Macaca mulatta: one gene and its partners. The protein of the gene in region 1 interacts with the protein of each later gene in a pairwise test. Links are inferred from orthologs where the notes say so. Each region holds a gene or a part of one and is shown in the gene's direction. Other genes may lie near its edges.

Evidence for each region.
Region 2: the proteins of GFAP (region 1) and ZC2HC1C interact in binary tests that used the Homo sapiens proteins (3 or more experiments, as listed by UniProt). The link is inferred for Macaca mulatta from reciprocal best matches to the Homo sapiens genes GFAP and ZC2HC1C.
Region 3: the proteins of GFAP (region 1) and ABI2 interact in binary tests that used the Homo sapiens proteins (3 or more experiments, as listed by UniProt). The link is inferred for Macaca mulatta from reciprocal best matches to the Homo sapiens genes GFAP and ABI2.
Region 4: the proteins of GFAP (region 1) and RIBC2 interact in a two-hybrid assay, tested with the Homo sapiens proteins (2 studies listed by BioGRID and IntAct). The two-hybrid records come from large-scale screens. The link is inferred for Macaca mulatta from reciprocal best matches to the Homo sapiens genes GFAP and RIBC2.
Region 5: the proteins of GFAP (region 1) and ZNF774 interact in a two-hybrid assay, tested with the Homo sapiens proteins (2 studies listed by BioGRID and IntAct). The link is inferred for Macaca mulatta from reciprocal best matches to the Homo sapiens genes GFAP and ZNF774.
Region 6: the proteins of GFAP (region 1) and CWF19L2 interact in binary tests that used the Homo sapiens proteins (3 or more experiments, as listed by UniProt). The link is inferred for Macaca mulatta from reciprocal best matches to the Homo sapiens genes GFAP and CWF19L2.
Region 7: the proteins of GFAP (region 1) and UBASH3A interact in binary tests that used the Homo sapiens proteins (3 or more experiments, as listed by UniProt). The link is inferred for Macaca mulatta from reciprocal best matches to the Homo sapiens genes GFAP and UBASH3A.

The regions. Positions count from the first base shown.
Region 1 is NC_133421.1:69,280,095-69,283,594, reverse strand, and holds part of GFAP (glial fibrillary acidic protein), read left to right. Parts: intron 1-1,537; exon of another isoform or gene 1,538-1,570; coding exon 1,571-1,656; intron 1,657-2,332; coding exon 2,333-2,374; 3' UTR 2,375-3,500.
Region 2 is NC_133412.1:148,262,535-148,266,604, forward strand, and holds the start of ZC2HC1C (zinc finger C2HC domain-containing protein 1C), read left to right. Parts: upstream 1-1,270; 5' UTR 1,271-1,649; exon of another isoform or gene 1,650-2,068; intron 2,069-2,450; 5' UTR 2,451-2,469; coding exon 2,470-3,798; intron 3,799-4,070. Other genes in the region: ACYP1 (acylphosphatase-1), read right to left, coding at 1,108-1,270.
Region 3 is NC_133417.1:108,607,966-108,611,465, forward strand, and holds part of ABI2 (abl interactor 2), read left to right. Parts: intron 1-507; coding exon 508-684; intron 685-3,500. UniProt on the Homo sapiens protein: Regulator of actin cytoskeleton dynamics underlying cell motility and adhesion. Functions as a component of the WAVE complex, which activates actin nucleating machinery Arp2/3 to drive lamellipodia formation.
Region 4 is NC_133415.1:6,058,497-6,061,996, reverse strand, and holds part of RIBC2 (RIB43A-like with coiled-coils protein 2), read left to right. Parts: intron 1-3,167; coding exon 3,168-3,286; intron 3,287-3,500. UniProt on the Homo sapiens protein: Microtubule inner protein (MIP) part of the dynein-decorated doublet microtubules (DMTs) in cilia axoneme, which is required for motile cilia beating.
Region 5 is NC_133412.1:80,237,159-80,241,381, forward strand, and holds the start of ZNF774 (zinc finger protein 774), read left to right. Parts: upstream 1-1,423; 5' UTR 1,424-1,603; intron 1,604-3,871; 5' UTR 3,872-3,890; coding exon 3,891-3,994; intron 3,995-4,223.
Region 6 is NC_133419.1:108,185,253-108,188,100, reverse strand, and holds the end of CWF19L2 (CWF19-like protein 2), read left to right. Parts: intron 1-1,658; coding exon 1,659-1,802; 3' UTR 1,803-2,348; downstream 2,349-2,848.
Region 7 is NC_133408.1:5,072,780-5,076,279, reverse strand, and holds part of UBASH3A (ubiquitin-associated and SH3 domain-containing protein A), read left to right. Parts: intron 1-2,335; coding exon 2,336-2,534; intron 2,535-3,500. UniProt on the Homo sapiens protein: Interferes with CBL-mediated down-regulation and degradation of receptor-type tyrosine kinases. Promotes accumulation of activated target receptors, such as T-cell receptors, EGFR and PDGFRB, on the cell surface.

The DNA.
Region 1 (3,500 bases):
TCGCAGGTCACTAAGGTACAGATAAGTGGCAGAGAGAAGTAGGAAAGAGGAAAGGGGACAGGAAAGGGACCTATGTGTATTGAGCGCTAATATCTGCCATATGTTTAACAGCCTTTATTTTAGTTAATTGTCTCCTCTCTCCCACCTACAGAAATAGGCCCCATCATCCTTATTTTACAGATGAGGAACCTGAGGCTGGGAGAGGTCAATTAACTTGCCCAGAGTCATGTGGCTGGTTGGTGGCTAAGTTGGGACTTCTTTTTTTTTTTTTTTTTGAGACGGAGTCTCACTCTGTCGCCCAGGCTGGAGTGCAGTGGCTGAATCTCAGTTCACTGCAAGCTCTGCTTCCCGGGTTTACGCCATTCTCCTGCCTCAGCCTCCCGAGTAGCTGGGACTATAGGCGCCCGCCACCTCGCCTGGCTAGGTTTTTTTTGTATTTTTTAGTAGAGACGGGGTTTCACCGTGTTAGCCAGGATGGTCTCGATCTCCTGACCTCGTGATCCACCTGTCTCGGCCTCCCAAAGTGCTGGGATTACAGGCTTGAGCCACCGTGCCCGGCCAAGTTGGGACTTCTTGAGCTCTGGTCTCCTGATTCCTTCCCTCCCCTCCCCTTCCTTCCTTCCACAGAGCATCCCTCTGTCACCCAGGCTGGAGTACAGTGGTGCAATCTTGACTCACTGCAACCTCCACCTCCCAGGTTCAAGCAATTCTTGGGCCTCAATCTCCTGAGTAGTGGGGATTACAGGTGTGAGCCACCACACCTGGCTAATTTTTCTTTCTTTCTTTCTTTTTTCTTTTCTTCTTCTTTTTTTTTTTTGAAACAGAGTCTTACTCTGTTGCTCAGACTGGAGTGCAGTGGTGTGATCTCAGCTCACTGCAACCTCCGCCTCCCAGGTTCAAGTGATTCTCCTGTGTCAGCCTCCTGAGTAGCTGGAACTACAGGCACCCGTCACTATACCCGGCTAATTTTTGTATTTTTAGTAGAGACAGGGTTTCACCATATTGGTCAGGCTGGTCTCGAACTCCTGACCTCAGGCGATCCACCTGCCTAGGTTTCCCAAAGTGCTGGGATTACAGGTGTGAGCTACCATGCCTGGCCTATTTTTTGTATTTTTAGTAGAGGTTTCACCATGTTGGCCAGGGTAGTCTCAGACTCCTGGCCTCAGGTGATCCATCCGTCTTGGCCTCCCAAAGTGCTGGCATTACAGGCGTGAGCCACCACGCCCCGCCTGGTCTCCTGATTTCAAAGCCTGTATGTCCTTCCTCGATGCCGTGCTGGATTTTCAGAAACCCAGGTGCCAGGCCAGGGCTTGCAGAGGGGCTAAAATGAAGCCAGGCCAGAAGACAGAGCAGCCAGGACTCAAACTGGACAGAGCAGCCAGGACTTGGGCAGCAGCACTATTGGGATTTGGGGGCTCTCCAGCCCGTTTGGAAGAGCCTAGGCTCTCTCTGCCCAGTTGCATAGGTTCTCATACTCATGATGGGGGGGTGCGATGGGGAAGCTGGGCATGGGAGAGGATGACTCACGCCCTGAAAGTCCATGAGAGGCCTCTTCTCCTCACATCTGCAGAAACCAGCCTGGACACCAAGTCTGTGTCAGAAGGCCACCTCAAGAGGAACATCGTGGTGAAGACCGTGGAGATGCGGGATGGAGAGGTACGGAGGGATTCAGGCCCAGTCAGGCTCTGGCTGGCCCCAGGGATTTTCAAGGCCAGGCCGTGGAGGAAAGCCTGGGACTGGCACATAGAAGGTCCCCAGTAACTCCCAGGAGCCCCCTAAGGAATTCTGGAGGAGAGCAAGGAACCTGAATGTAATTCCGTTTCCTCAGTCCCTCCATAGGCTGTTCTAAGGGCAGCCTTGGTACCAAAGCCACTAGATTGGGTCCCAACACACGCTGTCTCTTTCTCACCCTCAAACCCGGGGGCCTGGCTTGCCAGGGATAAAAAGAGAATTAAGGTTAGCAGCTTTCACTTCCAACTCTAGCGGAGACAGTTGGAGATGGGGACGGCTTTCCATTTCCAGCTTAGTAAAAGGAAACTACCAGGGGAATGGGAAGAGGGGATTTGGCGTATCCCCCAGGCCACTTCAACCACAGTGGGAGCTCATCTTACTGCAGCAGCTTACTACGTGCCAGGCACGATGCTAAATGCTTTCCCAGTGTTATCTCACCACCCACTCTGACCACCACGCAAGGCAGCTGTGGTTACTGTCAAGAAAAGAAAGACCTGGGAAGCGGGGGACTTGCCCAAGGTTACACAGCTTCATGGTGGTGGACCTGGGGTCTGCGTGAACTCCTAACTGTTGCACTGTGCATGTTCCCTGTCCCCTGCAGGTCATTAAGGAGTCCAAGCAGGAGCACAAGGATGTGATGTGAGGCAGGACCCACCTGGTGGCCTCTGCCCCATCTCATGAGGAGCCCGAGCAGAAGCAGGATAGTTGCTCCGCCTCTGCTGGTGCATTTCCCCACACCTGAGCTCCCCGCCACCCCAGCTGCTCCCCTCCCTCCTCTATCCCTAGGCCAGCTTGCTGCCCTAGGCTCCGTCAGTATTAGGCCTGCCAGACGGCACCCACCCAGCACCCAGAAACTCCAACTAACAAGAAACTCACCCCCAAGGGGCAGTCTGGAGGGGCATAGCCAGCAGCTTGGGTTAGAATGAGGAGGAAGGAGAGAAGGGGAGGAGGGTGGGGGGGGACCTACTACATCGCCCTCCACATCCCTGATACCTGTTGTTATGGAAACTGTTGCCAGAGCTGGAGGTTCTCTCAGGGTATCTGGGAACTGTGCCTTTGAGTTTCCTCAGGCTGCTGGAGGAAAACTGAGACTCAGACAGGAAAGGGAAGGCCCCACAGACAAGGTATCTTTGGCCAGAGGCTTGTTTTGTTTTTTGGTTTTTATGAGGCGAGGTCTCCTATGCTGCCCAGGCTGACCTTGAACTCCTGGGCTCAAGCAGTCTTCCCACCTCAGCCTCCTGTGTAGCTGGGATTACAGGCTCGAGCCACCATGCCCAGCTCAGAGGGTTGCTCTTCTAGACTGACCCTGATCAGTCTAAGATGGGTGGGGATGTCCTGCCACATGGGGCAGTCACCTGCCCAGATCCCAGAGGGACCTCCTGAGTGATGACTCAAGTGTCTCAGTCCACCTGAGCTGCCATCCAGGGACCCTGTCTGTGGGCGTGCTGTGGGCAGGTGGGAGCTTGATTCTCAGCACTTGGGGGATCTGTCGTGTACGTGGAGAGGGATGGGGTGCTGGGAGGGATACAGGGGGGCTGCCTGGTCCCCAGTGGTGGGTACAGAGAGGTCAAGCCCAGGAGGACTGCCCCGTGCAGACTGGAAGGGATGCTGGTAGAGATGGTGGAGGAGGCAATTGGGATGGCGCTAGGCATCCAAGTAGGGGTTGTGGGTGACCAGTTGCACTTGGCCTCTGGGTTGTGGGAATTAAGGAAGTGACTTATCCTCTTGAAGATGCTGAAAAAGGAGAGAAAGGGGATGTATCCATGGGG
Region 2 (4,070 bases), on another chromosome or scaffold:
GCCTGGCTAACATGGTGAAACTCCATCTCTACTAAAAATACAAAAAATTAGCCAGGTGTGGTGGCAGACGCCTGTAATCTCAGCTACTCGGGAGGCTGAGGCAGGAGAATCACTTGAACCCAGGAGGCGGAGGTGGCAGTGAGCTGAGATTGCGCCACTGCACTCCAGCCTGGGCAACAGGGTGAGATTCTGTCTCAAAAAACAAACAAATTTTAAAAAACCCTCAAAACCAACAAAACAGAAAACAAAAACAAAACGCTGGGGTAAAGTGATGGAGTCAATTCCCGGAGGGTACTGAAAAGCACTAATTCAAGAGAACTCATGGAAAGTGGCCCTTCTTTCTCATAGAGGAGAGGGAAGGAGAGAGGGAGAGAGACAGACAGAGACAGAGACAGACAGAGACAGAGAAGAAAGGGAGAGAAGGAAGAGGAGAGAGAGAGAGAAAGAGAAAGCCCGTACATTCTGCTGAGGGAAGCTGCGGGAGTTGATAATTGGGACCCTGAGTAGAGTGGCAAACATCTGGAGCTGCATATATGTAGAGGTGGTGCAGGCAACAAGGGATGAAAACGAGGAATTAAAAAAAAAAAAAAAAAAAGAAAAAGAAAAGAAAAAAAAAGAAGGACTGACCTGGAGGGTCCACCAAGGAATTTCTTTGTAACAGGTAACAGCTGTAATATGACATGTTGAAGTATTAACACTGATGACTGCTTGTCTACATTATTTTCCAAGTGCATGAATTGAGTAGTTACAGGGAAAAAGCGAACTGCCTGTTCCCAACGTCCTACACAGATGAACTGAAACGAAGAAAAAAAAATAAACTTTCTTTTGATGTCAACAAGTTACAGAGTATCATTTACTGTTGAAACCAGGTTATACTGATTATTTTCGATCTGGTAGTTCTTTATTATCATTACACTTGGCTGAGTCATTCCTACGCCCTAAGTACAGACGGCTAGAGTTACCACGTGAGAGTAAAACATTATAATATCAAAATAATTAGATTGGCCACAAAAATTACCCCGGAAAGATACTGCGTAGCAAAAACGTTGGCAGCAAGTTCCAAAGACTTGGCGACGACAAGCAGGGAGCGCGCACGTGCAGCCATACCTGGGGCCCGCCCAGCGCAGCCAAGCGCGCCGAGAAAGGTCAGCAGCAGCCCCGCTCCCACCAGGCAGGCGGTCGCCTGCACCCTGCGGCGGAAGCACGCGGAGGCACAGCCAGGGCCTCCGCCCTTTGCCAGTGAAGGGCACACCCCAAGGTCTGGGAGCATCGTTCTCAGGAAAGTACAAGTTCTTCTTTGATGGAGCCCCAGAAAAGCCTCTCCCGCCCTTCCTCGGCTCCCCAAGGGCAGGGCTGGACCCGGCTGCAGAGTTGGCCGGACACTGACTGGGTCAAGTGACGGTCGGGCTGACCGCACCCCCCACCCCCGGTCGCCCCGGGTCGCTGGTGCACTGCGCCTGCGCACGCCTCCCCAAGGAGTTCGCAGCGAGGGGCGGAGCTTGGCCCGCCAGTAACTCGGTCTCCAGGCACCGGGAATAACAGAAGCTAGCTGAGAGCGCCTGCGCGGCCGTCGGTTGAGGGGGAGGTCGGGTCTGGGAAACTAGGCCCTGGGGTTTTCCCTGAGCAGGAGCGGTGCCCGAGGGCCTCAGGTACGCAGAAGGGCGGGGAGACAGAGGGTCAGCACCTCCTAAGGGCCCGAAGGGCAGGAGAGAGAGAGGACTTGTCCCCAGAGGCGGAGTCCGTAGTGGGGGCGCCCCAGTTGACCCTTCGGGACAGAACGTGACTTCAGCCTTAAGGATCTAAAACCGGCTGCAGCCAGGTCAGGTGGCCCTCAACGCTCAGGTTACAAAACTTTTACCGTCTGCGCCACGGGGACTCCTGAGATGAGGGTTTGACAGCCAGGCACCTGCTCCAGGCCCTAGCAGCCTCTGTGCTCTTTTGAATCAAGCACGGTTCCAGCAGGAGGGAAGCCCTGAGAGCTCTTTGTGCCAGTCACTACCTCTGGGCCACAGCTTGCTCACCTGTAAAATGGTGAGGATGGACTCGGACGGAACCCTTCAGTTTACAGGTGAAGAAACGGGGGCCAGCAAGGGAGAAGTCGCTTGTCCTGTTACAGGCCTAAAACCTGACTTTCAATCCGATGCTCTTTCCACTTACTGTAGAGTATACTGTGCGTGGCAGAGGCTGGTGCTGGAGGAGAGGAGAGCTAGGTGGCAGGAACACCTGTAGCACCTCCGTTTCTCTACCCTCAGGGCCTAACACAGTGTCTTGTGCATAGTAATCACTCACCAAATGGTTTTTGAAGGGAAGCTTTGGCAGATCCAGCACCACTGTCCCCAGAAAAGTTTAAGGAAATGTGGGCAGGGCAAATGTAGAAATAGTTTGCTTTAGCAGACGAGAGTGAACCTCAGACAAACTCTTCGCATGTATCTGGTTTAAATCTCCCGTAGGCATCAGTCCAGGCCCTGAATGGCTGGTCTCCAGCGGTTGGCATCACATCTGCCTGTGGGCGTTATGCTTCCACATAATACAACAGAAGCTCCAGGGCCCCACTCAGCCAAGCAAGACTCTTACGAACAAAGTGACTCTTCCCAGCAGTCCTTGAAGGGGCACCTGAGGAACAATTTCCAGAAGCAGCTTTTGAGCAACAAAGAGTTGACTCTGGATAAAGTCCACACTCACCCCAAATGGAACACAAAAGCCCGGAGCTACTCCTATCCCCACTGTACTGGAATCAGCCACCAAGATGCAGGAAGTGATTTCCAGGGCCAAGTAAAACAAATTTACTCATCAGGCCCTCAATCCTGGTATCCCAAAGCCAATAACCAGGACTTTATCCCCTTTACAAAGAAACGAGTTGGAGTGGACCGGGCGTACCCACTGAAACCCGTGGTCCACAGGAAGTCGTGCAGTACAGGTGAGTCTGGCACTGATGGGGACCAGAATGTCTACCCAAGGCCCCCTGAACTGAGAGAGTTTTCATCCAGGAACTTTGATGTGAGGAACCAGGTCAACTTTTCTGTGGTTGATCCTGTTCTTGCTGCCATGCAGGCGGAGAAGGCCTTGGCAAACTTGGACAGGATGGAGTGGGTGCAGATCCGAAGACTAGAAGCTGCAGGGGAGAGCTTAGAGGAGGAAATCCGAAGAAAGCAGATTCTCCTGAGGGGAAAGCTGAAGAAGACAGAGGAGGAACTCAGAAGGATCCAGACGCAAAAGGAGCAGGCCAAGGAAAATGAAAACAGAGAGCTACAGAAAATTATATTCCCCAGGAGCAGAGTTAAAGGTAATAACAGCAACACCACGCACAAAGCTGTCTTCTCCCCAGAATTTGATTTTGAGGAAGAATTTAGTAGAGACAGGAGAGAGGATGAAACTTGGGAACGGTCTCAACAAAATTCGAGTCCATTCCAGCTCTCTGATTATAGAATTCAGAGACTCAAAAGGGAAAGGCTGGTAGCAAGCAATAACAAAATTCGAGACCGAGTCTCAGAGCCGTCGATGGAGAAGTTCTCCCCGCCTTCAGAAACACCAGGCGGTGCTTTGCAGGGATCTGCCAGAAATTCCAGCCTGTCCATGGCACCAGACTCCTCAGGTTCCAGCGGCTCCACTGAAGAGCCACAGCTGGGTGAGTGCAGCCACTGTGGGCGAAAATTCCTCTTGTTCAGGCTGGAGAGACACTCCAACATCTGCAGCAGGATACAGGGTTCCAAGAGGAAAGTGTTTGACTCCTCCAGGGCCCGGGCTAAGGGCACAGAACTAGAGCAATACTTGAACTGGAAGGGGCCAGCTTCAGCCAAGGTAACAAGAGCCTTATGGATGTGACTTGGTGTGGGGATCATTGTAGGGGTCTGTTTTGTCATCATCAGTTTTCTTTAGGGAAAATTCATGTGTCATGTAGGAAGAATTGACGTCTAGAATTAACATTTCTTGATTACTACTGTATGCCAGCATTGTGATGGGAGCTTTGCATGTGATCCTCGCATTTATCTCTCATTTTATCAGTTCAAAAATCAAGACTTGGACAGGCTAAGTAACTTGCTTGAGGTCACAAACAGCTTTAAGTGGCAGAG
Region 3 (3,500 bases), on another chromosome or scaffold:
GGACAAAGTTAGCGTGCTTTAACCCAGGGGTTGGCAAACCTTTTCTGTAAGGGAGCCAGCTAATATATACTTCAGTTTTTGTGGGCCATGCCGTCTCTGTTGTGGCTCATCTCTGCCATTACAGTGTAAAGTCTAGACAAATAAGCAAGTAAGCAGCATGGTTGTATTCCAATAAAACTTTACTTATGGAAAAGGAAATTTGAATTTTATATAATTTTCACGTGAAGGGTTTTTGTTGTTGTTGTTCTTTTATCCAAACATTAAAAAATGTTAACACTACTCTTAGCTTGTGGGCTGTAAAAATCAGGTGATGGACCAGATTTGGCCATGGTTTACCAGCCCTTGCTTTAACCTGAAAATGGAGGAAGTCAGTAGTCCAGAAGAATAAAATTTAGCAAGCATAGTTTAGAATATGAGTAGCAATATTAAATCTCTAGGCATATATATTTTGATTTTTGTGGATATTAGAACTGTACATTTTTGTGTTTTTTACTTTATATTTTGCAGACAGTTGATATTCATAAAGAGAAAGTTGCAAGAAGAGAAATTGGTATTTTGACTACCAATAAAAACACTTCAAGGACGCATAAGATTATTGCTCCAGCCAACCTTGAACGACCAGTTCGTTATATTAGAAAACCTATTGACTATACAATTCTAGATGATATTGGACATGGAGTGAAGGTAGGTATAATTTTTTTCAAGCTTTTAAAAGTAGTAACCCATAATGAAACTAACTCTTGAGAAAATTAAGCTTTTTATCTATCTTTCCTTCCTAGAGGACAAAGTCTTGGCCCAGTTGTCGTGAAGATTCCTTGCTACTATAACTGTTTTACCCTTTTTGCTTTTTCTTAGTGCTGTATTCTCAAGTTTTAAACAATCATCTTTGAATGAATTGTATTTGCTTAGTGATGATAATACCTCCTATGGTTTGAGTAAATAAGTGTAGTGTAATCTTTCCCATTTTAATTTAATATGGCTGATTAAAAAATCATTCATCATGTTATTATGAAAGTGTTTACCTTATCAGCAGACTTTTGGCATTAGTTTTCAAAAACAACATATATTAATAAACATGTAGTTTGAATTTTTCTAAAATAATTTTATCCCAACATCTTGGGCAAAAATAGTGTTAGGTGAATTAATATTGCCACTGCTTTTGAGTGTATAGCTATTACATATTTTGACTGTCTTTTAAGATGTATTTGGGTGCCTAAAACATGGAAATTTCATTTAAATTGATATTTGAACCTAATGATTCAGAGCTTTAGCTGAGTATCAACTTACATCTGATCAGTAGTTTGAAAGACAGTGACTTATCAGATATGAGTAAATAAATATACATACGTACATGCTTATAATGATACTGTACAGTTCATGTAGTTGATTTTTTTTCTAATATAAGCATACTTAAAAAACACACACTGTTATGGATGGAAATCAGTTAAATCTAAATTTAATGTAGATCTAGGTAAAAAGAAAATATACACTGTAAATTTATTTTTAAAATCTCTCTTCAGAGTTTTGATCAAGCACTATTATCTGGAATATGGTATTTAATTTAACTTTTCTGAGACAAGGTCTCACTCTGTCACCTAGGTTGGAGTGCAGTGGCACAATCATAGCTTACTCCAACCTTGAACTCCTGGGCTCAGATGATCTTCCCGTGTCAGCTTCCCTGGGACTACAGGCACATGCCACTGTGCTGAGCTAAATTTTTTGTTTGTAGTGACAGGGCCTGTCTGTGTTGTCCAGGATGGTCATGAACTCCCGTCCTCAAGTGATCTTCCCATCTTGGTCTCCCAAAATGTTGGGATTACAGGTGTACAGGATTACATTGTGCCTGCCCAATATTTAATTTTATAGCCAATACCTACATGCATTTAGATTACTAATAAGAGCATGTTAAAATAAGATGTGTAATTGGATGGTTAGTTAATAACTGAAATTTATTCTAACTTGGGAAAATTTATTCAAGGCTAACAACTGCTAATGGAATATTTTAGAATACTGCCAGAATCTAATGCCAAAAAGATACTTAGAATATAAAGTGTGATATTTCTGTTTGCCCAATTATGTAAGAAAAAAGTAATCTGATTTTTTTTATATATATAATTCATATGTTTACATCCCCCATTCTTATAATTCTCAAAGTAAAATGTTTTTCTTTTAGGATTCTAGCCCCTTCATTTTTTGACTTTCCGTGTTTAAGGGTCATTAATTTGAAGAAATCTTTAATAAAATTAAATTTTTGAATAAAACAATGTCTTAAATTCATCAAAGAAACTTCTGTTCATGACACATTCTGCTTTAACCACTCTTTCTATGATCTACTGAAACATTATTTTGTTAATGCTGAATGCTTAACTTGTTTTTTCTTTTTTTCCTTTCTCTTCACATCCTGAAGTTTCAACTAACCTTTCAATGCTTTTTTTCCTTACCTCTTTTATTTGCTCCATTTATGCATTAAGTGGTTGCTTAGATTTAAGGTAAGAGATTCCAGGGCTGGATTTCCATTCTTTGTTCTTATGTAGAATATTACATATGGGGAGTTAAAGAGATAGTTAACACTTGGCCTTTTAAAACCCAATAAAGAATTCCTCCTTTTTGTTTTACTTTTTGTCATGCAACTTTGTGGTGTGTCTTCATGTTCCTTGCGGGCAGATATTTTTGTCTGTTTTGTTCACTGCTCTATCCTTTGTGCCTAGAACAGTACCTGACACACACATTAGGTGCTTAGTAAATATTTGTTGAATGAATGGTTATTTTGTAATGTTAATATATTTTGTGAAACTGAAACGTGAGGTACCCTATCATAAAAATGTTATGAAATATAATTAGCTGGATTTTTATAAATATAGAGACTTTGTTGTGAATTGGAGGGCCAATTAATGTGCTTTATTTTACCCTCCCCCTGTGTAATAGCCTTTTTATTCTATAAATGGTGCGCTTTCTGATATACCTTATGGACAATATGTCATTATCTTTTAATCAGTATAAAGAAATTGAGAAGCAGAAAATATTCAGTGGCACAGGGTTTTTTTTTAAGTTGCAGTATCATATTTTTGTGGAAAAATTATTCTTTTTGCCAAATAGCTGAATAAAGAATATATTTCAATATAAACTTTAAAAGTTTTTAAAGGTGAATATAATTATATACAAAACATCAAAAGCCTATGACAATATTTAACAGAATATCAATTAAGAATTAGAGATATTTCCTGTTATGATTCGTTTCAATAATGTTTTGGTATTTTGGAGGATTCGTGGTAAAAGAAATTCAACTATATTCAAGAAGCCTGCCTAAAATAGAAGGTTACTACAATTATATACCAAACTTAGCATGCATTTCTTCTTTGATTTTTTTTTGTAGGTGAGTTTCATAGTTTATTTTCAAATATATATTCCTCCCATCTAACACCCATTATTTGCCATATCTTCAGTGTAGAAAGTGATGACAAGATGACTGAGCTTTGAATCATTAACTAGTACTAACTATG
Region 4 (3,500 bases), on another chromosome or scaffold:
GTCTCTCCCCTTATCCTACAGTAGCTCCCCATTGCACTCAGAGTAAACGATTTTTTTCAGGGACCTATAATGCCTTCACAGTCTGGCCTTATCTCCTGCTATGATGCCCTCTCACTCCATTCTTTCCACACTGTCTTGCTGTTTTCAGACATGAGTGCATCAGGCTCACTTCCGTCTTGGAGCTTTTGCATGTGCTGTTCCCTCTGCTTAGAAATGTCTTTCCCTGGCCGGGCGCGGTGGCTCAAGCCTGTAATCCCAGCACTTTGGGAGGCCGAGGCAGGCGGATCACAAGGTCAGGAGATCGAGACCATCCTGGCTAACATTGTGAAACCCCGTCTCTACTAAAAAAATACAAAAAACTAGCCAGGCGTGGTGGTGGGCGCCTGTGGTCCCAGCTACTTGGGAGGCTGAGGCAGGAGAATGGGGTGAACCCGGGGGGCGGAGCTTGCAGTGAGCCGAGATCGTGCCACTGCACTCCAGCCTGGGGCACAGAGCAAGACTCCGTCTCAAAAAAAAAAAAAAAGAAAAGAAATGTCTTTCCCCAGATATCTGTAGGGATCACCACTGTCCTCCTCCAGGGCTGTGCTAAAATGCTGTCTTATCGGTGAGGCCTCCCCGACCCCCTATTTTAAACCCTGTACCCTCTTCCCACCCCACATTCCCTATCCCCTTGCTTTATTTTTCTCCATAGCCTTGATCACTGACATGTTGTATGGTTCATCCATCTCCCAAGTGGTCTACATTTCCACCTCTGGCCAAAAGGCTTTGTTTCAGCTGTGTGCTTGGTTCTTCAGTGGTCTCCTTGACATCTCACGGGACCCCTCACAACATATTGGAAAGCAGCCCTAGATCCTCTTCTGCATCTGCTCCTTTGTCCATCTTTCTCCTCCCACTCACTGGTACCTCTTGCCCTTAAACCAGAAGTCTAGGGGATCATCCATGACCCGCCTCCGTCTCCAGGCCATCTCTAACTCTTGTCCCTTCTACCTCCTGCATATATTTTGAACTGTCCGCTTGTCTTCATCCCTGCTGTCACCCTTGTGATGCAAGCCACCACCTCAGCTGGACAGACCTCTGCCGAGATCTTTCTGATGGCCTCCACTGCCTTTCTTGCCCCTCTCTGATCCATTCCCAACACAGCAGTCAGGGATACTTTTAAACAATGTGGGGTTCAGCCAGGTACGATGGCTCATGCCTGTAATCCCAGCACTTTGGGAGGCCAAGGTGGGTGGATCATCTGAGGTCAGGAGTTTGAGACAAGCCTGGCCAACATGGTGAAACCCTGTCTCTACTAAAAATACAAAAATTAGCTAGGTGTGGTGGCATGTGCCTATAATCCCAGCTGCTTGGCAGGCTGAGGCAGGAGAATCACTTGAACCCGGGAGGTGGAGGTTGCAGTGAGCCGAGACTCTGCCACTGCACTCCAGTCAGGGCAACAAGAGCAAAACTCGTCTCAAAAAAAGAAAAACAAAAATGCGGGGTTGGACAGCATCACCCTACCCCGTCGATCCCAGCTTCAAGCCCACTAATGGCTTCCCAAGCACTTGGAAAGAGATGCAGAATCCTCCTGCAGCCCACGGGCTCTGCATGCTGGGCCCCGCCCACCTCTCCACTGTCGACTCCGCCCCCTCTGCTTGCTGTGTTCCTGCCATCTTCCTTTTTCACTTCTGGATTCCACTGTATCCCTTCCCAGCCCAGAACCTCTGCACCTGCTCCCAACCCACTTCTTCGACCGGCATTTGCTCCCAGAGGAGCAATCCCCTACCCTCCTCCCTAACCTCAGCCGCCTCAGCCAGGCACCCCCAGCATGTTTCCTCTTGGTCTCTCCGTCCTTGCCTCCCTGTCACTGCTACAGTTGGCATTAATACATTTATTCTGGATTCCTGTGTTGGTTGATGTCTCCTCTCCTAGGCAGCAAGTTCCAGGAAGGCAGGAAAAGCCCTTTCTGTCTTACTCCCCATTATGTATCCTGTGCCCAGCAAAGTGGGACCCCCATGCTCGGCTCTCCATGGCTCTATGTTAAATGGATGAATGAACAAATGGACGGTGAGAGGTGAGGCTGACTGACTGTTCAGAGGCCAGAATCGAAGATGAGAGTTTGGTCTTTGTTTCTGGAGGCAGTGAGGAGACCCACAGGGCACAAATACTTGAATGAAGAAACCTGATCGATGACTTTTTTTTAACCTAATAGTTCTGCAAGCCAGGCGCAGTAGCTCACGCCTGGAATCCCAACACTTTGGGAGGCCAAGGCAGGCGGATCACCTGAGGTCAGGAGTTCAAGAGCAGCCTGACCAACATGGTGAAACCCTGTCTCTACCAAAAATACAAGATGAACTGGGCGTGGTGGTGCACACCTGTAATCCCAGCTACCCCGGAGGCTGAGGCAGGAGAATCGCTGGAACCCAGGAGGCAAAGGTTGCAGTGAGCTGAGATGCGCCACTGCACTCCAGCCTGGGCGACGCAGCGAGACTCCGTCTCAAATAATAATAATAATAATAATTCTGCGAAGGAAGTGTGTCCTGCTTCACAGGTATGGACACAGGCTCAGCGAGGCTAAGTAATAGTTGAGGTTAACAGCTAGGAAATATCTGAGCTGGGATGTGAGCCTGCTCTCTTTGACTCCAAATCTTCACATTTTTCTGTTTGGACCTTCTACCTTGACCCCTTCACCTCCTCCTCTTCCTCTTTCTCTTCCTCACTGGCCTAACCAAGTCCTCCTGTCACCCCACAATATCTGGCATCTGGCCCCACTTCCTCCGTAGAGTCCTGTGGGGTTTCTTGTTCTTTCACTTCTGGATTCCACTGAATTCTTTCCCAAAACCTCTGCATCTGCTCCCAACCCACTTTGTTTGTCCTGCAGGTCTCAAACGTCATTTCCTGGGGCTGTAGAGTACCTCTTGCCCACTGTAAGGATGTAGCTGCCTCCGGATAGAGCAGGACAGCAAGGGGCACACCACCAGCCTGTCCCAGGACCCCAGCATAGTGGTGATCACTAGCACTCCTCTGGGAGCTTGACTCTCCCACAGCCTCAGAGGCAGGTCCTTTCGTTATTGTTCCTGTCCTCATGGGTAAGGACGTGGTAGGAGGCAAAGGCATGAAAGGCCACATGTCAGAGGGAAGGCGCTCCCGTGGCCAGCTTGGTCTGATTGCTTCTTGCTTCCTTTCAGAGGCCCTCTACACAGAGACAAGGCTGCAGTTTGATGAGGCAGCCAAGCACCTACAGAAGCTGGAAGGCACCACCAGAAAGGCGGTTTGTGCATCTGTGAAAGACTTCAACAAGAGCCAGGTATACGTACTCCGAGACCCCGGGCTCGATGACCGGAGGGGAGGATGAGCCCACTACGGCTTCCCAAGGCTCTCTGGCCTCCCTGGGATCCCAGTCTCTGCCTGCTTCCCTGGTCACATCACCAGCCCTGACAGAGACCCTGATGGGCTGCCTGATTATGCCTGATTATGGAGAAGGATGAGACCCAGTCCTGTCCCTTAGCTCTGAATCTTGG
Region 5 (4,223 bases), on another chromosome or scaffold:
CAATGTAGTTATCTTGCAGATGACTACAATTGTAGCAAAATAACTAAGATGCAACTGGCTATATGAAAAAAAAAAAGACAAAATATTACTTAGGATTTTTTTTTTTTTTTTTTGAGACGGAGTCTCACTGTGTCGCCCAGGCTGGAGTGCAGTGGCCGGATCTCAGCTCACTGCAAGCTCTGCCTCCCGGGTTTTTACGCCATTCTCCTGCCTCAGCCTCCCGAGTAGCCGGGACTACAGGCGCCCGCCACCTCGCCCGGCTAGTTTTTTGTATTTTTTTGTAGAGACGGGGTTTCACCGTGTTAGCCAGGATGATCTCGAACTCCTGACCTCGTGATCCGCCCGTCTCGGCCTCCCAAAGTGCTGGGATTACAGGCTTGAGCCACCGCGCCCGGCCTACTTAGGATTTTGATACCTTTTATGGTTTATCTCCCCTTTTGGCCTGTAAACTTCATGAAGGTAATGGTTATGTATGATTCCCGAGTAACCACAGTTCCCAGAACGATCTTGAGTATAGAATGTTCCCAATAAATATCCACTGGAAAATGCACCCTATTTTTGTTGAAGGAATGGTGGAATTAGCATCAAAGGGATCTTCAACATTAACTCTATGGCTAGCAATTCTAAGCGTTTTATAGTACATCACAAAATGGTCTTTCTTTTTCTAAATTACACTGAATCAACAAACGGAGTAGACAGGCACATTTTCTTCACTTTAAGGAAAGACATTATTTTTTAGCTAGGGGCCGACCCAAAGTGACCACTGGCTTTCACATGAGACCCAGGAGCCTCCCCAGTTTGAAGCCCAATATCACATTTCCCAGAATACTTGATGCCCTCGCCCGCCTCCTCTGGCTATCAACCAGACGGAAAGGGGATGCGCCTGGGAGTTTGATGCCAAGGGAAGGATACGGAATGTCTGTTTTCTCCTAAGGGCGTCTGCTGGGCCTTCCTTATGTCCAGTTTGAGTTGGTCTGGGACCCGGCCTCCGCAAACACTCTGCAGGCTCCGGCCGCCGGGTGTGAGGTGGAAGACTGGGCAGAAGAGAGGCTGCAAAGGCCAGAGGGCTGAGCTGCTCTGCGCTGGGGAGGGGCGAGGTGCCAGAGCGCGGGAGACCTCACGTTGGGCACCAGGCTGCTCCGCGGTAGGTGGGTGAGGCCAGGAGATTCACATCAGCAGATGCCACACTGAGGGTACGGCATTTAGATCCCTAGGCTCCAAACAGGCGGTTCCTGGGGGCCGGTAGCTGGGGAATTGGGTTTAGCACTTTTCAACGCTTGGAACTGGATATCCAAGGCTCCGAGTCCTTTGAGGTCTTGCTCGGGACTACGTTTCCCAGAAGGCTAGGCGGTAATTGATAGCTCTGTCAGCCTATGGACAGAGAAACATTCTAGCCATGGAAACTAAAAAGCCAATAGCAAGAGGACAGGGGCGGTACTTTCCGGCTGCGAGCTGTCGAAGCCTGAGTCCCACCTGTGTCCCCACAGCCCTGTCACGAATCCCGGTCGGGTTCTGGGAGGGACCGCCTCGGGGTTGCGGGCCGGGTGCGGCTCGGCGGTGGAGGACTCACTTCCTGCTCCATCCCCAGCTGGGCCCTGGGGCGGTGAGTGATCCAAGGAGGGAGACTGCGGCGGCAGCGGCGCGCTGCTGAGAGGCGTGGAGGGGGCTCGCCCGCCACCCAGACGTTTTCTCAGAGGGGTTCCCACGCTGGCCTTTGGGAGCCCCCGGGTCTTGCTGGGGTGTGGGAGAGGTAGCTGTGGTCTCTATACCGTCGTCGAGATAAGTCATTCTCTTAATGAGTTTTCTTGCTTCTCGATGGTGGTCCCCGGGTTTCAGCTGATCTGCCACCCTCTGACCGCCGCACCCTGGTTAGGGCCCCAGCACCGAGAAGAAGAACGGGGTTCAGCCCCACGCGTGCAGTCATGTTCCTATTAATAAACCCGGTGAACGCACTGGAGATTCTCACAATGGCACTTAGTCACAGCCCCTCAGAGCTGTAGGGCCTTTGAGGTCATCTGCGCATGGGGAAAGGGACGGGCTGGGAAACAGGGTTTCTATAACCGTGGCTAAGAAGTCTCCAGCAAGGGGGCCCTGCAGCTGTGTTTTGTAATGAATGTAGAAATAAAAATTATACTAAAAGCTCTTTTTTTTTTTTCCTTTTTCTTCTTCTACTTTTTTTTTTTTTTTTTTTTAGAGGGGATTTCGCTCTTGTTGCCCAGGCTGGAATGCAACGGTGCTATCTCCCTTCACTGTAGTCTCTGCCTCCCGGGTTCAAGCGATTCTCCTGCCGCAGCCTCCCGAGTAGTTGGGATTACAGGTGTGCGCCACCACACCCGGCTAATTTTGTATTCTTAGTAGAGACAGGGTTTCACCATGTTGGCCAGGTTGATCTCGAACTCCTGACCCCAGGTGATCTGCCCATCTCGTTCTCCCAAAGTGCTGGGATTACAGTCATGAGCCACAGCGCCCGACCAATACTGAAAACTGTTATTACCATTTTTACTTTCTAATTACATTATTGTTGTTTGTTAAAGTTTTAAACCAGAGCAATGGTTTTTAGATCCTTAAAAACTCAATACTTTATAAATGACCAATAATAATGTCTGTAAATACATAAATATTTTCCCCAAAAGTGTGTGTGTGTGTGTGTGTGTGTGTGTGTCTGTGTCTGTATCTGTGTTCCAGTAGTAAATAGGTGCTTTGTAGTGGGACAAAAGATGTGAAAGAGTAAAACTTCTTCACCCTAGTCTGGTCCTTCCTCCCGTGAAATGCAATATTCTTTGTAGTGGGTGGTCATGCTGGCTGAATTTTTTTTTTTTTTTTTTAAGGGAGAGACAGGGGCTCACTCTGTTGCTAGGCTGGAGTGCATGGAGTGCAGTGGCGCCATCATAGCTCACTGCAGCCTTGAACTCCTGGGCTGAAGTGATCCTCCCACCTCAGCCTCCTGAGTAGCTGGGACCACAAGTGCATGCCACCATGCCTGGCTGATTTTTAAAAGTTCTTTGTAGAGAAAGGGGTCTCAATATGTTGCTGAGGCTGGTGTATTGGAAAGTTTTTAAGGGAAAAAACATTATCTTAATTTCTTTGTGACTCCTATGCCTGGCAACATATTGATTGTTGAATAAATTACTGATCCATCCAGTAGTTGACTCTGACTATCCTCCAAAAAGTAATGTTTTTCATGATATTGCTGTCAATTTATTAATATATTAATGATTGGTTTCAGCCTCTAAGAGTTGTGTTTTGTGCTTATCCCCATTGACTTTCACTTATTTTTACAACCTATCCATGTCTTTTTTTAAAAAAAAAAAAACATGTCTTTTTCAGTCTTATTTCTGACTCCATTAAGATCTTGAAATAGAGTGGTATCCAACACAGTTCTCTTTGGGGTTCTGCATAATCTGTCCCTTGAGGTTGACCCCAAATCTGCAAGCCAAGAAGTCAGCTGTTCTCATAACTAATATGAGTATAGTTAAGTCCACAATTTCCTTGGTTGCTGAGGAAAATGAAGTTGGGGAGAATCAAAAGCTTTCCAGAAATCAAATTGTACCTACCAACTCTCTCCTTTGTTTACCTTGTTCATCGTGGACAATTTTTTCCTCAAAAAGTTAATGTATCTAAAAGACTGGGTTCTGTCCATGTGTTTGGGAGGCCTAGGCCTCTCTTAGTAATGGGAAAGTTGGCCAGGAGAAGATGTATGTAAAAACAGACTAAGAAAAGCAACCCTCTGTGGTTGACAGAATTTACCTCAGGACCATTCTGATCAGGTGTGGGGGGTTGTTTGTGTACACTGATGGCCATTTTTTGGCTTTCAGACAATGGTGAGAATACCTAGGGAGCTACTGATGCATATCGAGGTCTCTTGCTTTAGGAACTGATGACCCTTGATAATGTGGCTGAGGACTTCAGGGAAGAGTGGGTTACCTGGACACTGCTTAGAGAATCCTCTTCAGGAATGCCACCCAGCACAGTTAGAAGAATGGGCTATCAAAGGGTAAGAATGCTACTCTCCTTTATTTTATTTATTTATCTTGTTTTTTTGAGATGGGGTCTCGCTCTGTCATCCAGGCTGGAGTGCAGTGGCGTGATCTCGATTCACTGCAACCCTTGCCTCCTGGGCTCAAGCAATTCTCCCACCTCAACCTCCTGAGTAGCTGGGATCACAGGCATGTGCCACCATGCCCAGCTAGTTTTTGGTGTTTTTAGTAGAGACAGGATTTTGC
Region 6 (2,848 bases), on another chromosome or scaffold:
AAAAAACTTGGTCCAAGAAAAAAGAAAGTTAAAATATCCAGTTTTTAAAAGTTGTATATATTAAACTGGGAGATTGCCCTCTCTTCACATATTATTCATGCATTCTGGTTTATATGATACAGTTTTGGAGTTAAAAGTAAATTTTCTCTGTCAGCATTGTGTCACTGAGCCATTTTCCTCAAAATTTGCTTTTTAAGAAATAGCCTGTGGGCTCGAGACCTCCCTGCAGTCTGCTGCTGAAGCAGTTGTTCAGAGAGCTAGAAGAGATTAGGGGGGCAGTCTTTCCATTAACAGCTGCTTTGATAACAGAACAAGAGTCAAGCTTATATGGTACAGATAAGACAAACCTTGGTATTTTATAGACAATTTTAGGTAAACTTTTATAAGCTAGGCTTTCTTAAACTACATTGTTTATTTGGACCAATGCTGAGAAGCTCTCGAACTAAATCTAAATTTGCCCCATTTCTCTTTTCTACTATCTCTGTTGACCCCTTTATTTCCCTTCCCTGATGATAGGAGATTCCCTTTTCCATGAAGCATCTCTTGGTCTATCCAACAACTAGATTTTTGTTTTGTTTTGTTTTTGAGTCTCCAAATGGTCTGCTTTGGCACTTACCTTCTACTTTATGAGACAGTCTGTTGCATAGCTGGATTATTACGGCTCCCACCACAGCTCCAGATTCTATTCTGTCTGAAGACAACTGTGTATTATCTCTGTAGCCCCTACAACATAAATGCCATTTGCTTCTGCATAGTAGGTCCCCAAGTAAGATGAAGAACCTGCATCTGAAAGATTATGTGCTTTGTGCAGGATTTCACCACACAGTCCAGTGGAGCTAGACTGACTACGCAGAATTTGATCCTTAGTCTGTTTTTTGTTGTTGTTGTTTTGTTTTTTGTGTTTTTTTTTTCTTTGTTACCATACTGCCCTCCCTCTAAGCATGTAAGCATTAGGAGTCTCCCCCATGTCTTTCTTACATGGATACTCACATGACTAAATTTGATTTATTTCTATAGCTAACAGCACAGGAAGAGGATCATGAAGGAAATCAAAAATAATACGCAGATAACCAAAAAGCCATTTATTACAGGACTTGAGAATGTGATTTTTTAAATGAAAGTAATATATAATTTTTAATTCTATCGATAGGTTTACTTAGACTAGTATTACAATAGGATTTTGTTTCCTGAAAAAAAGATTTCCTGCTAATAGTGGAAGAAACTAATTTATAAATATACTTGGTAGCAGAGAGAGAACATTAGCCTGGGTTTCACCTGCAGTTGAGCAATAAAGTTAATAATTGCTACAAGTTGATTAACATTTTTGCAGAATTGTTTACCGGAGCCTCTAATAGAGATCAAATTAATTAAATTTCACTTTTTCTGCCTCCCCTTTTTTACCATTTAGTAGATGTGCTAATAAGCAGCAAAATGGACAAATTGCTTGATAGGAGGTGCGGCTATCTTGGACTCTTAGAATCACACGGTTTGCATAGTTAGAATTAATTGAAAACATTTTTTTAACTTCAACTAGTATTTATGCTTGAACATTGTCATGGAGAACTACTTGTTATATTTTATAGCAGAATAAACAGAAGTAGTTTATGTTTTCATTATTTATACATGCTTGTGTTTGTGCTTTTCTCTTTCTTTAAAAGGAAATCATAGGTGGGATGCTGGATATAGAACCAAGACTTTGGAGGAAAGGCATCCGAGAAAGCTTTGAGGATCAGAGGAAAAAAGCACTGCAGTTTGCTCAGTGGTGGAAGCCATATGACTTCACCAAAAGTAAAAGCTGTTGAGGTGTACCTTCCATTTTAAAATTTCTCTTCAGATCCCGTTCAGTTTTATTTCCACTGCATCTAATGAAGCACCTGACCCTCAGGTCGCAGGCAGAGAGTCACAGCAGCAGACTGCTCTGGGTCTGTGACAGCTGCACATCAGGAGATTGTGTTATTTTTTTCCTCACCTGCTTCTATGGACTTCATTTTAGTCATCATGGAGTAAAAACATCTATTCGATGATCTGCTCACATTCCTGCTCTCTACCTACTTCTTGATATTCCAAATTGTTCAGTTAATTTAGAGAAGGCCTTTTCTGAAGGGATATCTAGAAAGCATAGGAAATCCTTGGTTCAGAGGGAAGTGGGTCTGCTTCATGGTCGTTAAGTCTATTATCTGGCTTCTTTTGCATTTTTAAAAATAAGACTTGATTTAATTTTAATTTCATAGGATTTTATAGAAAAGCTCTTAATTTTCTGCTAGCAGTATATAGTATCACTTCTATTCTTTTTGTTAAAGGAAAAGGAAATGTCCCCAAAGTATTAAAGAATTAAATGATACTGAAAATATGTATGATTCAAATTTGTTTTTATTTCTGGATTTTTAAATAGTATCTTTGAATTTTGATGGTTCTAAAAGTAACTTCCAAATAACACATTTTAGGGTTGTTTGGGGTTTGCATGAAAGTTAAAATTTGTAGCTAAATCATTGGTTTTGAGTTGTACTGATTGTCTTAAAATCTTAAGTAATGAGAGTTTTTATCTTTTTGTTTTGTTTTTATTTATTGAGACAGAGTCTGGCTTTGTCACCCATGCTGGAGTGCAGTGGCCCAATCATAGCTCACTGTAGCCTTGAACTCCTAGTCTCAAGCTATCCTCCTGTTTCAGCTTCCCAAAGTGCTGGGATTGCAGGTGTGAATGCCTGGATGAGAGTATGGGGCATTCTGTTGTCCCTTACTTGATCCAAGGAACGTAATTTTTACTTGTTCTCAACTCACACCATAGTCATTTTTTGTAAGTATAGGATTTTTATGTTTTGAGTGCTCCTACTTTTTTTTTTAATGGAAA
Region 7 (3,500 bases), on another chromosome or scaffold:
TCCCAGGAGAAGCAGCACCTTCCAAAGCCTCCAACCACCACCCCAGATTGCCCAAGACTTGCAGGGATTCCCAGAACACAAGACTAAGCCTGGGAAATCCCCAGGCAAACTGAGAGAGTTTTCACCCTACATCGACATCAATGGCACTTGTGACAAGCAGACTCCTTCTGACTCACCTTCTGGAGCTAACGGGGAAAGGCAAGGCAGCCCAAGTTGTGTGACACAGCTCAGAAATCAGAGTAGGCCTTGGCCCCCAGCTCCTTCCCCAGTCCACTGAGGCACAAGCACACACACACACACACACACACACATAGCTCACACACATAGACACACACAGATTGACACAGAGACTTACACATGCACACAGATACACACACATACATGCATACAGACAGATATAGGCACACAGACACACACAGATAGACACAGAGACATACACACGGCACACACAGATATACACACATACATGCATACAGACATACACAGACACACACAGATACACACAGACATACACATATATACATATATACATGGATACAGACACACACAGACACACACAGACACACATACATGTACATAGGTACACATGCACACAGATATACACACACAGGAATACAAAGATACATGCACATAGACACACACAGACACACACAGAGAGGCACAGACACACACACAGAGACACACATTAGATACACACACATACACATGCACAGACATGTAAGCACCACATACACACATATGCACACAGATACACACATGCATACACACAGACACACATATAGACATACGCAGACACACAGACACACATAGACATACCCACATGCAGACACACACAGACACACACACATATAGACATGGGCAGACACACACACACTCACACACCTCCCTCTGTTGTCAGCTCCTCCCAGTCCCTCACCCTGGGTCTGGCCTGGCCATGGTTAGTGGAGCTCCCCTCGCAGCCAGAAGAGTGTAACGGAGACTCACTGTGTACCTTTGATGCTGTAAAATGAAAACACTAATCTTCTGAAGTATGATATTGATCACAGCTACATTTATAACCTGACTATTCTTGAAAATTACATATCTGAGGCGAAGAAACACAATGTGAGACGGATTCCGGAATGGACATGGGTTCACTGGGTGGTTTTGTGTTGAGTGCTGTTGAGGGCTGCAGACAAAATAGACAGGGAGAAACGTCAGGCCGGCCTGTCCACAGGGAGATGGAAGCCGCATTAAACACTGTGATCTGGCCTCATATTTGGGCTTGTAAGAAGGACTATGGAAAATTCCAAGGGCAGCCCGGTGCTGGGAAGAGAAGGGATCAGGCCATCTCCCGCCAGGAGGATGTGGTGTCAGGTTTCCCCTGTGGTCTGATGTGGTCAATGGCACTGGGAAGGTCTTCAAGCCCAGGAAGCAGCCTGGCCAGGGCAGTGGGCAACACCAAGCCCAGATGCCAGGAGAGGCTGTGTCTGGCTAGAGGATGGTAGTTGGAGCCCCATGGGCAAGGCTGTCGGGCCAGCACCTGTCGGGCTCTGTGGGCAGGCTGAACCCTTGAGAGGGATTCTCCAGGTGACAGAGAGCCTGCGGCCTCAGGGGTGGGAGTTGCATCAGAAAGAGGGTCCTACAGCCACATGGGGGGCATCACGGAGGCCAGGCCAGGGGCTGTGCAGGCTCAGGTCCTCCAGGGAGCAGACCCCAAGGCAGAATTCCAAGTGCAGGAGACACACAGGGGAGAGACTGCTGGTGAAGGCAAAAGAGGAGGAGAGGGTTGGAGGCAGGGCAGAGCCTCAGTCCTTAGAGGAGGCCCCTGTGGAACCTGACTCAGTGCTCAGCCGTGGACAAGACGGCAGCACCACAGCTGGAAGTGCAGCTGAGTCCCCCTCACTACAGGCTCTAAGCAGTGCCTGGGCAGCCCTGGAGTCTTCTAGAAACCTCCAGAAGCCAAATCATGCAGACCTGAGCAACGCAGTGGGCCATGGGACTGAGGAAAGGGCCTGGCAGGTGACGAGCACATGCGGTGGAGGGAGGGGATGCAGTTCAAGGACCAGGGGATTTCTAACCTGGGCACCTAAAGGAGACTCCATTCCGCAAAGAAACTTACCTGAAATATTTGAAAAACCGAGGTCCAGGTATAGAACAAATCCATAACCTCAGACACACAGGGACGCAATAAATTATGTTACAGTGCTTTATTTATGTTACAGTGCTTCACTTGAATTGCTTTATTTATGTTACAGTGCTTCACTTGAATTGCTGCCTGATTGTTATTAATTAAATCAATAGATGACTTCTGATGAGAGGTGTGGAAACACAGGCTCTGTCTCTGTCCCCTTAGTGTGAAGACCAGAGGGTGGAGTGCCTGTACGAGGCACTGAAGAGGGCTGGAGACAGGCTCCTGGGCTCCTTCCCCACGGCCGTGCCCCTGGCTCTCCATTCCTCCATCAGCTACCTCGGCTTCTTCGTCAACGGCAGCCCTGCAGACATCATCCGGGAATTCGCGATGACCTTCGCCACGGAAGCATCTCTCTTAGCAGGTGGGCAGCCCTGACCAGTGGCAAACACAGGGCCGGGTTCACAGCGAGTGAGCTCTGTGCAGCAGGCATGAGCTCCTGGCACATGGATTTCCATGGGTGGGTTCCAGGGGAGCAGAGCCCAGCAGCAACGGTGGGATGGCTGGGTGGGCTTTCTTCCAGGCTCAGTGGCTGCACCTGTCCTCACCCAGGCACTTCCAGTTCCCACTTCTGGATTTTCAGCCAGGTGCCTGGACATGGCCTTAACCTGAGGCTGAACAATTAAACTAGCGCCTCCCTTCGTGAGCCACTACATCCTTCAAAAATGTAAGCCGTTAGAAAGCTTCCGGACCAGCTTTGGTCTTCTCTTTAGGCGGGAATAACCTTTATTCGCATTATGTGGTTTTTCAAATGCTTAGCTGTATGCCAACAGCCTGGGAAAGTGCCCCAGAAGGGTGTGCCAAGCATCAAGCCTGAGTGGGTGACCGTGATGGGGTTGGAGGCTGGGGCACATAGGGAGTCAGGGCCTCCCCCGCTCGGCCTCGAGTGGGAGACACACAAGTCCTACATGACTTATTTCTGTATTTTCAGTATGAGCTTAGTGCTCTCTCCTTGGCCTCTCCGGGGAAAGATTATGTAGACTCATATTGAGAATCATCAAAATTCCCTTCTCTCCAAACACCAGCCCTGGTCTGGAGACCAAAGCTACCACTGGGGTTTAGTGGAAAGGATTGTGGACTTGATGTCAGAAGATGTGATTTTTTTCTGTGTCCCTGATGAGTGGCGTGACCTTAATCAAGTCATGTCCACTGTCTCTGTCTCTTTTTCTTTCTCTACAAAACAATGAGGGCTCTCACTCTTCAAGAACAATGTTGCCTGAGTCTGTGGCCCATCCCACCATAGTTCCCAGGATACAGAAGGCACTCAGTATTGCCGTGATTTGTCAACTCTAAAATCTGATGAGGCTGCAGTGCCTTGGTGGGAGGGCTC